Linked DNA regions of Bombyx mori. The protein of the gene in region 3 interacts with the protein of the main gene of each other region in a biochemical or structural test. Links are inferred from orthologs where the notes say so. Each region holds a gene or a part of one and is shown on either strand. Other genes may lie near its edges.

Region 1 (4,310 bases), on a different chromosome or scaffold from region 3:
CAGCGGTTTTGTTTCATTTTCCCATATTTATCCACTTTCACAAATGCCCACTTTAATAAACCACGGTTATTGCATTTTTAAACTGAAAGAACATTAAATTAACAAAAAACAATTGACACAACTTCGTTCATCGCGTTCCCGCCAATACGGAAAGGTTTTTTTTTTAAAGTGGTATCAGTGACTATACATATTTTCGTATAATGTGTAGGTAGAACTGTACTTTATAGGAATGCTCAATATGAGGGTAGTTTTCCAATTACAGCACAAGAGCGCATTATGCGGCATAATGCTCAACTAAGCTTCAGCATAATTCGGCATTGTGCGTCACTGAGTCGCATTATGCTCTGTAATTGGAAAACTACCTGTATTAGCATTATGCCGCATAATGCGCTCTTGTGCTGCAATTGGAAAACTACCGAGGTAACCCACCAGTTTGATTAATGCAATTGGACAGCTTGTTTTTATAAATTGTTGCTCAAACGTAAAAAAAAACGTCCTATATTTACCTTCATTTGGGTTGAAATGTAGGACAGATAATCACCGATAAAAACAAATAGGCCTTTGTTGGATGCTTGGGTTTCTCAATAAAACTTCCACAATCGATTTTGTGCTTGTATTTCCTTTATACAGGTTTTTGTTAATTTAATACGTTGCGAATGAGTTAGCTTGGCACGGCCATTAATTGAAGTGTTTAAAAATTGTGTCGGTGAACATAAATAAAATTTTGTTCATTGCTCCTTAGAAATTCGTAGGCGTTAACAGCTTTATATAACAACGTCAAACATTTTCTTACTTTAGCTCGACTTTTTTGATTAATTTTTAGATGATTAGTCATTTAATTTAATCTATCAATAAAAAATTGTGATTACATGATCGTTTTCATTTAATATAAAAATTAATTAACTATTTCTAGATTGTATTGGTGTAACATTGCAACATCATTACAGCAGCAATTTTTTTGTAGGTACAACAAGTGGAGCCGCCCTTATGGCTTTTATGTTGCAAGAATCAACTGTTACATGAATCGCAAGTAAATCGTTTTGGTATGGGAATATACAAAATCGATAGCATAACACATCTAATATAAAATATTGTGAAAAAAACTGGTTACATTATGGCATTATTTCTTAATGGTAAATAAATTTTAAATATAAACTTATGTTATGTTTTTATTTTCAATTCCTTCATTTTATATTTAATATATTTTATTTATACTTCATTTTATATATTTATTAGACTTCGTTTTAATTTAGTAACATTTTTTTGGAAAGATAGTTGTCCTTCTAGTTTCACGAAAACGAATCGGTGAGCACGGACGCAATGTAGTAGGTAGGTATTTAAACCCAAATGGTTCAATATTCCTAGGTTTCTACAACTGTATTTGTATCAGTGCATGGGTTTGATTAGCACGGCTACGATTTCATTTACGTAGATTATTAATTTCAAGGAATTTAACAGTAGATACTTTTTGTATTAATTTGCCGACGACATTGTCAATCAACTTTTCTGAACGGTAAACGAATGTCATTTTAGTCATTTGTTTTGTTGCAATTTTCTGTCAAAACATATGTCAGTTGTTATTTGAAAATGGCGGATGATGCATCAAGCAGTAGCGGTATTACCGGTAATACGGTTGAAAATTCAATTAATCAAGATGAATTGATAATGAAACAGCAACGTGAAATAGAAAAAGAGGTAATATATATAATATATAACCAGAAAACTACCTAAAACCATACTTCACACTGAAAACATACTTTGAAATTTGACGTTACTGTTTGTTTGTTTTTAGATATCGGAAACAATACCGTTGGTTGGTGAAATTGAAGAATTGCAGACTTTAGAGAAAGAATATAACGAGGATCCGATTTATTTGCTCAAAGTGAAAGATTTGTCTTCGAAATACAAAAGCATTAGACGAACGCGTCCCGATGGCAATTGTTTCTTTCGCGCGTTCTCATACGCATATTTGGAACGCTTACTGACTGATAAGCAGGAATATGATAAGTTTTACGAAATAGCAAAAAATTCTAAAGATATTCTCGTCGCCTTAGGGTTTTCGCAGTTCACCGTTGAAGATTTTTACGAAACTGTAAGTTGCAACATTCTTTTTGTTTTGTTGACAAGGACGTTTCAAGTTTACGGGTTGCGCGCGAGGCCTTGACCGGAGATTATGGTTTTTTCTCAGAAAATAAAAATTTCGCTGTTAATCATCATAAAACTCACCAGAGTATTGATTTGAATAGTCAGATCATCGAAGATAAGTCAGACATGAATATTATAACATTTAATAGAAAGGGAGGTTAGCATAATTATTTGATTGAAAATTATTGGGGGCAATAAAGCGTGGCTGGTTTAAGCAGTTTTAAAAAACCACAAATGTTTATAAAGCCTGGGTGACTGCCTTAAACTGGAATAGGCAAGATCTTAATGGCTTGTGTAGACAATGCATAATATAACAAAGCTTATTATCTAAACACCAGGAAAGCCCAAAAATATTTCCGAATATAAAAGCTATTAGGATAAATCAATTTTAAGTGTTTGATGAAGACAGTGTTTCTAAGTAATACTTGGACCATATAATTAGATACCTTGATACTATAGAGTTGAGACTTGATCTACACGCTTGAAGTCTTCACACTGTCTTCATGTCATCTGGACTTTTTCCTAATATCAAGTAGCTAATAGTTTGCAGACTTCTTTAGACTAATTTGCAGACTTCTTTATTTAAAATATAATTTAAAAAAAGACATTCAACTTTGTCAATGTAAACTAAAACAACAAATCTAATTAAAATTATAATTTGCAGTTTATGGAAGTAATCCAAAGAGTAGGGGAACATGCTGGTTCTACTCCGGATTTGATAGAAACAGTTCGTATGGAGCTTCATGATAAGTTCAACAAGCAGGGATATTCTGATTACATAGTGGTGTACCTTCGTCTTATTACATCTGGCCAGCTGCAGACAGACCAAGAATTTTATCAGAATTTTATTGAAGGACCACGCACTGTTACTGAGTTTTGTAGACAGGTAACAATGACATAAATGTTTTACAATTTATTTATTTACAATAAAAGGATTGTGCTGCAGCATTTAGGTTGTTTTCAGTAACCACTTAACTTTTTGTACCATGTGGTATTTTGATATTATTTGTATTTCTAACATATGTGCAAGTTAACTCCTCAAAAAGGAACATAATTTAAAATAAAGTTTCTGACTTACTGTTGTGATTCTGCTACATAGTAGTCAGGCTTAGTGTTTGAGGGTAGAATAATAATAAAATGTAATAAACACGATTGTGGATATTTGTTTTGTGAGAGACAACAAGGTTATTGTATTTTTTCCCAAAATATTTTTATATCAATAGTATAGTGCACTAGACTTGAAATTGTTGTTATTGCTCATGGTCACTGACATAGTTCGTCTTGAAATTGGTCCCATGCGTATAAACAACAGATTCTACTTAAATTATGGTTCAAACCACATGTTGTGAATTTGTTTATGTAAAAAAAGGTGACCGTATGTTCCCATAGGGAGCGCTCTATACCATTCGGCTTTGGATTGAGCTCTCCTCCACAATGTTTCCCGAGCACTATGACATTTCCCTCTTCAAATGAGAATTGTGGAGAGTGCTTAACGGTAGGCAGCAGCTTGACTCTGCCCCCGGCATTGCTGAAGTCTATGGGCGACGGTAACCACTCACCATCAGGTGGGCCGTATGCTCGTCTTCCTAAAAGGGCAACTAAAAAAATTATTTTTGTAGTATCGTATACATTTACCATGCAGGTGCCTAGGTTCATTCAGTTGGAAAGAGAACCGTGATTCAAAAATATTTTTGTTAGATCTTTTAATTTGTTATTGCAGGAAGTGGAACCGATGTACAAAGAGTCTGACCATATCCATATCATAGCATTGAGTAATGCACTCAAGGTGTGCGTCCGAGTGAAGTACATGGATCGGGGTGAAGGTAGCCAGGTGAGCAATAAAACTTAGATGCTAGTTACCAAAAAAATTTAATTGTTTAATTACAAATTGTAATGTCATTTTAAATTGAAAGCAAAAATATTTAAATCTGTAAAGCAGTAGTAAAGTACCTACTTCAAAATTGTTCATTCATTTCATTTCAATTCTGGTTCAACCAAAAGAATAACCAGTTTCACAGAAAACTAAAAATATCCTAATCTCTATTATGTTTTGTAAATAGAACCGTGTTAAAAAAAGTAATTGAAGAGCATATTTTTTCTACTTGCTAATGTGGTAATTAGTAAATGTCAAAATTTTTTATTGCAGGTGATAGCACATGATTTTC
Region 2 (3,090 bases), on a different chromosome or scaffold from region 3:
CCAGGACTAGAATGAATCAAGAGAAGCCAAAGTGTAATGTGAACTGAACCTTGAAATTTGCTTGCAAATTTGTGGTATTGATTGTTGGTTGTTTGTAAATTTCTTGTTTATCTCCAAAATTGAGTAAGCATTTTGTACTTTGACTAATACTTCTCTTGATTCTAAGCATTTTTTAAAATATCTGCCAGTGACTTATATGAAAAATAATATTTGTTTCTTTACTATTCATTATTCATATGAAGTATTTTGTGAAATATTTACAAATGAAATGGGGTTTGGATACCAATATTACAACAGACTGTTAAATGTGGTTCACAATATTTTAGAACATTGAAACTTTCATTTGGTATATCATAATGAGCCTAGTTTTATGTTACTAAGGTACAGTATAGTAATAATATTTTGCTAGTTATGGCTACTAGCTTTTGTGATATTCCCTGGGAATGGGTATAAAAATCAGAAAAGTTCCACAATGTTAACAAATTAGTGACTGTAAAATAATAATTAAATAAATATCACAATAAAATGCCTCTGAAAATTCTTTTTATACTTTATTGAGTAATTTATGTAATTTTTATTTACCTTGTAATTTATAACGTGCTTGCAAGAATATCTTGGAGTGACTTGCTTCCATTAAGTAAAATTTTTATTTATAATCATAGGAGTTTACTATTTTTATGCCAGATTATTATGAACAACAGATTTTCAACGAATTTTCAATTAAAATTCACATACAGAATTTTGTAAGAGTTATTTTATTATTACAAACTTAATAGATATTGACATGTTAATTCCCTATGTTCAGAAGATGTCAAACTCCTGTGCAGGATGCAGCTCTTCTAAATGACATTTAATGACCATACCTGTAAAAATATAAATATATTATTAATAGAATATATCTTGTCTATATTAAATGTGAACAAGTTTTGATACCTTATCATTGATTTATTTACCACTCAACCAATTTCAATATTAAAGTATTATACGGAATATATGGTAATATATCTTTATAAAATGTACTTGCTTTTGGAACTCCCATTCTCTATTGTCTAGTGGACAAACTTGTCGAGTCTTCAACCAACGGGAAATACAGTGGAAATGGAATGCATGCTGTAACAAAAACAAGCAATTAAATAAATTAGTTTTGAGTCAATAATGATTGTGTTTTCCAAAATTGGTACTCATACATTACAAACACCCCAAGCAACTGTGCATTCTTCACTAGTGGCTGAGGCTTGATTTGCTTGGCATTCGATACACAGATCCATTATGTGATTTCGGCAAATAGCACAGTTGTCGACAACAATATCTGGAAAGCAAAATCATGTTCAGAACGATGTAGAGGTTACGAAACTTTATTATCAAGAAACCTACCCCAAGCCCAGAGTGCTACTGCATTCCACTGTAACAAAATTGTTTACATTAAAACTAGAAACAACAAAGAAATTTTCAATATTAAGAGCTCAACAATGAGTTTGCAAAATGGCACCTCACCTTTTTTACTTCGAATCTTTTTTTATCTCCTTTGCCACTACTAGACGAAGCCATTTCAACTTCTTCTTCATCAACATCCATCACAGAAGCCATTTTCAAATTAAACTACCCCGTTTTATTAAAAAATAACCAAGAGTTGTTAGGTTGTGTATTATGTTTTTGACAGCTGAATCGAAATTTTAAAAACTTCATGTTGATTTGTTTTTTGACGTTTTTGACATTATTAGTGTTACAAGTACCGAAAATCGGCTTTTTATTTTGAAGATTATGGCCTGGTATCTAGACCTTTAGGCCAAAAATCGGCTTGTCAGATTAACAATGTTGCCAAGTTGTTAAATAAACTTTCCCGAAAAATCGTTTGTAATTAGAGGAATTAACATATTTCACTAACACCCGACTTTTCTATATAGTGCATCCAGATATGAATGTGTTCACCTCATTGTGTTTCAAAGTGTTATTTATTATACTGTATTTTTAAATCTTATCTATCTAAATCTTATTAATTATACGGTATTTTAATAAAATAAAAAATATTACAAAAACTATTTAAAAAAAACACTACATAAAACGATTATTGTCGCCGATGGCGGTGTCTACGACACAAGCTGTTAGGTCTCCAGAGTGAGAAACTTCCTCACAATATGCGCCGTATCAAGAATGACTGATTTTTGTACCAGACCCCAACCCAGCTGGATAACGAAAATGTTCACTATCAAACTTTGTACTGAAACTACTGGAACAATGATGGTTGAATCAACATGCCACATGGTGATAGTCTCGTGAATGAGGCCTAAATATTTTATTAATTTGTCCTTTCCTGTCTTTACTAGGTTCTCGTCATGAGGATGGTGATATCAACCAAAATTGCTCGATGTGCAGACCAATAACAATAACATGCTTATTGGCAACAATAGACCTATCCATGATAATAGATCGATTCCAGTAGAGCGTTACATGACCATTTTTAAGAATTTGCTGCTGAGGTTGGTATTAGTAATAAGGTACAGCAGAATCAACTAAGCTATATTTCAGAGCAAGCTGTTGATGGATAATCCCAGTCACTTGATTATGTCTATATCTTATTGATAGTGCTCTCACCACGATTGTTTATTTTAGTGAATTTCGCCTTTTTGTAAAGCGCCATGATCACGGTATATAAACCATTAATCACAGTAATTTTTTAATTTTTTTATTTCTCTCAATAAAAGTTGCAATGGTTTTGATGCATGTCTCCAAGCGCCGTGCTAATTTTTTAATGCCTTTCTTGAAGAAACCACGTGCATTGGAGCTAACAAACTCTTCAAAGACATTTTGTACTGCCTCTCGGGTATTGTATTTTTTCCTTGCAAAAAGAATTGTGCAACTTTGGAAAAAGTAGAAAGCTGTTGGCGCAGGTTCTGGTGAGTGGTGGATAACGTAAAACATCTAACCCTAGCGCCTGTAGTGTAGAGTCTGTAGGTTGTGCCATATGGGATCGAGCGTTGCCGTGTCGGAGCAGCGGGTACGAGTGATTAACCAAGGCTAGCCGGAGATTCGGAAATCTCCTCCATCATTGTTTCCAGTTCTTCACAGTTCACATAGTGAGTGGTAAAAAGC
Region 3 (3,371 bases):
GAACAGACATTACCCATATCCATATAGAAAAAAAAATTATTTTATTTCACTGCTCCCTTTAATACCGGATATTTTCCATGAATGTTACATAGGTCGTCCCACGTTGGAGACCTTACGAAATACAGATATTTTAGAACCCGAGGAAGAAGAATTTTATTAAACATTGAGTTGTTAGGTATATCTTTATTGTTAATCTTTACACGTCATTTCGGATCCTCCCGATCCACTAACGGTGCTTTTAGGTACTTCAAGCACCGGTCACCGTTCTCGTCGAACCCGTCGCTTGCGACGAAGGGCTCGACGAGTAAACTAACTCTCAGACACAGCCCACTGAGTTTCTCGCCGGATCTTCTCAGTGGGTCGCGTTTCCGATCCGGTGGTAGATTCTGCGAAGCACGACTCTTGCTAGGGTTCGTGTTAGCAACATCGTCAGGTTTGAGCCCCGTGAGCTCACCTACTAAAGTTAGGGTTACGCTGACATAGCCGCTAGGGCTATCAGCTTAGGTAGGAAAAAAAAAAAAAAAGTTAATCTTTTTCACTTAGGTAACTCATACTATTATTGTGTTCCTTGTAACTTAAGTCATATAAATATTAAACAACCATATTAAGATAGTTAAGTTAAATATAATATGTCTATAATATATCGATGATATAATAACCTTATTTGTCATTGATAACGAGAATTTGTCTTAATACTGAAGATTCTACACATAGATGTTCTAAATTTAATGAAACAAAATTAGACATCTGTTGACGAGTAGCTGACATCACGTCATTTTTAAAACTGTATTAGATGTCGCTGACCGCGGTCCTAAGTGATTTTATTTAGATCTGTTCATTAAAATAACATTTTCACAATAGGTTCATAATAAATACTAATTTGTTTACGAGCCTACGTTTTTCACATTTATCATTTTCTGTCAGCTGAATAAAAAATATACGTTTCATAAAATTTTGAACAGCCTGTAACTCTCATTTTTAAAAAATCATGTGCGCCATTCACTCTCGGTAGAAACGTAAGATTCAGAAGCATATAAAACACAAATATAATAAAAAACAAGTTCCGAAACTTTCGAAACAGTTTTAACAACTTTCATGTAGGTTCTCTTCAATTAAACACGCTTTCCTGTTTGGATTTTATATTAAGGGCTGAATACAGTTCTTCCTCTCTACTATTTTTCTATTACTGACATCTTTCATTCTTCCCTTTTTTTTCATAAGCTCTTTTGCGCCTTCTTCTAAATAGATTGAAGTCTGTATAACAAGACAAGTTAGTTTTAGCAGGCTTCAAACACGGCACAAGTTGTATAACAATGTTGTGTGATTCCTATTCAGTCCCAGGTACTCAACCTAGTACAGAATTTTATTCTTTTAATAAACAATTTGTTTTTGTTGTCTTAAACTAATGCATGTTTATTTAAAAGGCTTTTTTCCAGACATCTATATTGAACGCACCCTATTCTAAATTCTACATTTTGTCTATGTTGGTGAAAATCTATATTATCTGTGGTTAAAAAAAACTAAAGAACACTCGCTTTTGTAGTCGCGTTTATTGCAATTTCGTAGATAAAATGCTATTGTAATTCATTAATATAAGGAAACGTGCCTCAACAAGCGTCGTTAACACATTCAGTGCTAATATAATTAGATATTTTATACAATTATATGAGTAATCGCTTCCATTTGACAAACTGCGCTCGACCGCATATTTAAAATGGCAGCCCTACCACGTAGAATAATCAAAGAGACACAGCGATTGATGCAGGAGCCGGTGCCCGGGATCAGCGCAGTACCTAGCGAGACAAACGCCCGTTACTTCCACGTTATCGTGACGGGCCCAGAGGACTCGCCTTTCGAAGGAGGACTGTTCAAATTAGAATTATTTCTACCGGAGGATTACCCCATGTCGGCACCTAAGGTTAGGTTTATCACGAAAATATATCATCCTAATATAGACCGACTGGGCCGCATTTGTTTGGACATTCTTAAAGATAAATGGAGTCCAGCTCTACAAATACGCACGGTGCTACTGTCTATTCAGGCTCTGCTGTCAGCACCTAACCCTGACGATCCGCTGGCGAACGACGTTGCCGAATTGTGGAAGGTGAACGAGAGTGAAGCTATTAGGAACGCGAAGGAGTGGACGCGGAGATACGCCATGGACAACTGAATAGCCGGCACGAGAGCACCGGTGCCGACCGTGCGCGCCACACGACCAACGAGATATCACGACTTATGAGTGCAAGTTATGTTACACATCCTAAACAGAGTAACTTGTGAGAGACTATTGTGGATCAAATTTTTATTATTAGTGGATGAGGGCCGCGGCGCCGGTCCCTTTGCAGTTATCCATTGCCTCACCTTGTTCGCCTCGGAACGGCTAGGCGATCCCACAGATCATTGTTTACCCATTCACATGTAGCTTGGTTACAATATTAGGTATGCATATTTTTTTACTATTAATATGAATAGTGAATAAAGAAAATATACCTGGAGTCTTCAATGTATATATTATGCTGGTTTAAAATTAATTTTGTACAGAAGATAGTTTCAATTTGCAAAGTTTGATTATCTATGCCAGAGACTTATCGGACACAGTCTTACTAAAATTTGATTGTAACATCATTTAACTGATCTCTCATTGAAATGTTTTTTGTTTTTTTTTTTATAGAACAATGATTGCATTTAGGTATAATTTTCACTTTATTAACCACATCGAACATGATTTCACAGTGAATCTTATGTTGTACTATTTACGTCTTGTATAAAAATTATCAAAATAAATTGTATTTATGTAAATTTTTAATTTGGCTTCGTGAGCAACTTCAAAATACATGAAATACAAAAAGCTAACCCATATTTTATTTTTAGTGCAATACCATCACAAAATAGGATTCATTAAATTAAAATAAGGGCCAAACTCAAGTAGCAATTTACAAATTAAAAGCATTTACTGGAATCGCGTTGATACCTTGCAACATGCTCTTATAATATTGAATACATTGGACCAATGGCTATCAAACTCTTCTAAGTAAAGGGTGATTGCTTTATGGCATCAATAGGCATGATGGTTGTCATTACGTTTAAAGAATCTATCAACAACAGTTACAAAACAAACTTTGAAAAATTAACATCTTTTTGAATTCACCTCTACACCTCTGAATTTCAACTAGAAATAAAGTGCTTATCCATTGATCAGTCAGTGGGTATAGGTTTGTTAGTTCATTGAAATTTAAGTAAAGACACAAGTTAACTGAACAGTTGTCATTGCAACTTAACGAAAATGTAATATCAGAAATGTTGATTGAATGATTGTTTCATATTGAATTAAGCAACCGTGATGACATATTGGTCGTAAGCCACCAATAGCT

The links.
Region 1: the proteins of Ubc13 (region 3) and ubiquitin thioesterase otubain-like form a complex in vitro, tested with the Homo sapiens proteins (6 studies listed by BioGRID and IntAct, with this or other methods). The link is inferred for Bombyx mori from reciprocal best matches to the Homo sapiens genes UBE2N and OTUB1.
Region 2: the proteins of Ubc13 (region 3) and ring box protein form a complex in vitro, tested with the Homo sapiens proteins (5 studies listed by BioGRID). The link is inferred for Bombyx mori from reciprocal best matches to the Homo sapiens genes UBE2N and RBX1.

Annotation. Positions count from the first base shown.
Region 1 is NC_085118.1:933,373-937,682, reverse strand, and holds the start of ubiquitin thioesterase otubain-like, read left to right. Parts: upstream 1-1,494; 5' UTR 1,495-1,587; coding exon 1,588-1,695; intron 1,696-1,792; coding exon 1,793-2,092; intron 2,093-2,809; coding exon 2,810-3,031; intron 3,032-3,865; coding exon 3,866-3,976; intron 3,977-4,291; coding exon 4,292-4,310. UniProt on the Homo sapiens protein: Hydrolase that can specifically remove 'Lys-48'-linked conjugated ubiquitin from proteins and plays an important regulatory role at the level of protein turnover by preventing degradation.
Region 2 is NC_085119.1:7,172,427-7,175,516, forward strand, and holds ring box protein, read right to left. Parts: upstream 1,647-3,090; 5' UTR 1,588-1,646; coding exon 1,495-1,587; intron 1,403-1,494; coding exon 1,375-1,402; intron 1,310-1,374; coding exon 1,188-1,309; intron 1,111-1,187; coding exon 1,025-1,110; intron 864-1,024; coding exon 851-863; 3' UTR 517-850; downstream 1-516. UniProt on the Homo sapiens protein: E3 ubiquitin ligase component of multiple cullin-RING-based E3 ubiquitin-protein ligase (CRLs) complexes which mediate the ubiquitination and subsequent proteasomal degradation of target proteins, including proteins involved in cell cycle progression, signal transduction, transcription and transcription-coupled nucleotide excision repair.
Region 3 is NC_085111.1:2,343,205-2,346,575, forward strand, and holds Ubc13 (ubiquitin conjugating enzyme E2), read left to right. Parts: upstream 1-1,488; 5' UTR 1,489-1,714; coding exon 1,715-2,170; 3' UTR 2,171-2,850; downstream 2,851-3,371. UniProt on the Homo sapiens protein: The UBE2V1-UBE2N and UBE2V2-UBE2N heterodimers catalyze the synthesis of non-canonical 'Lys-63'-linked polyubiquitin chains. This type of polyubiquitination does not lead to protein degradation by the proteasome.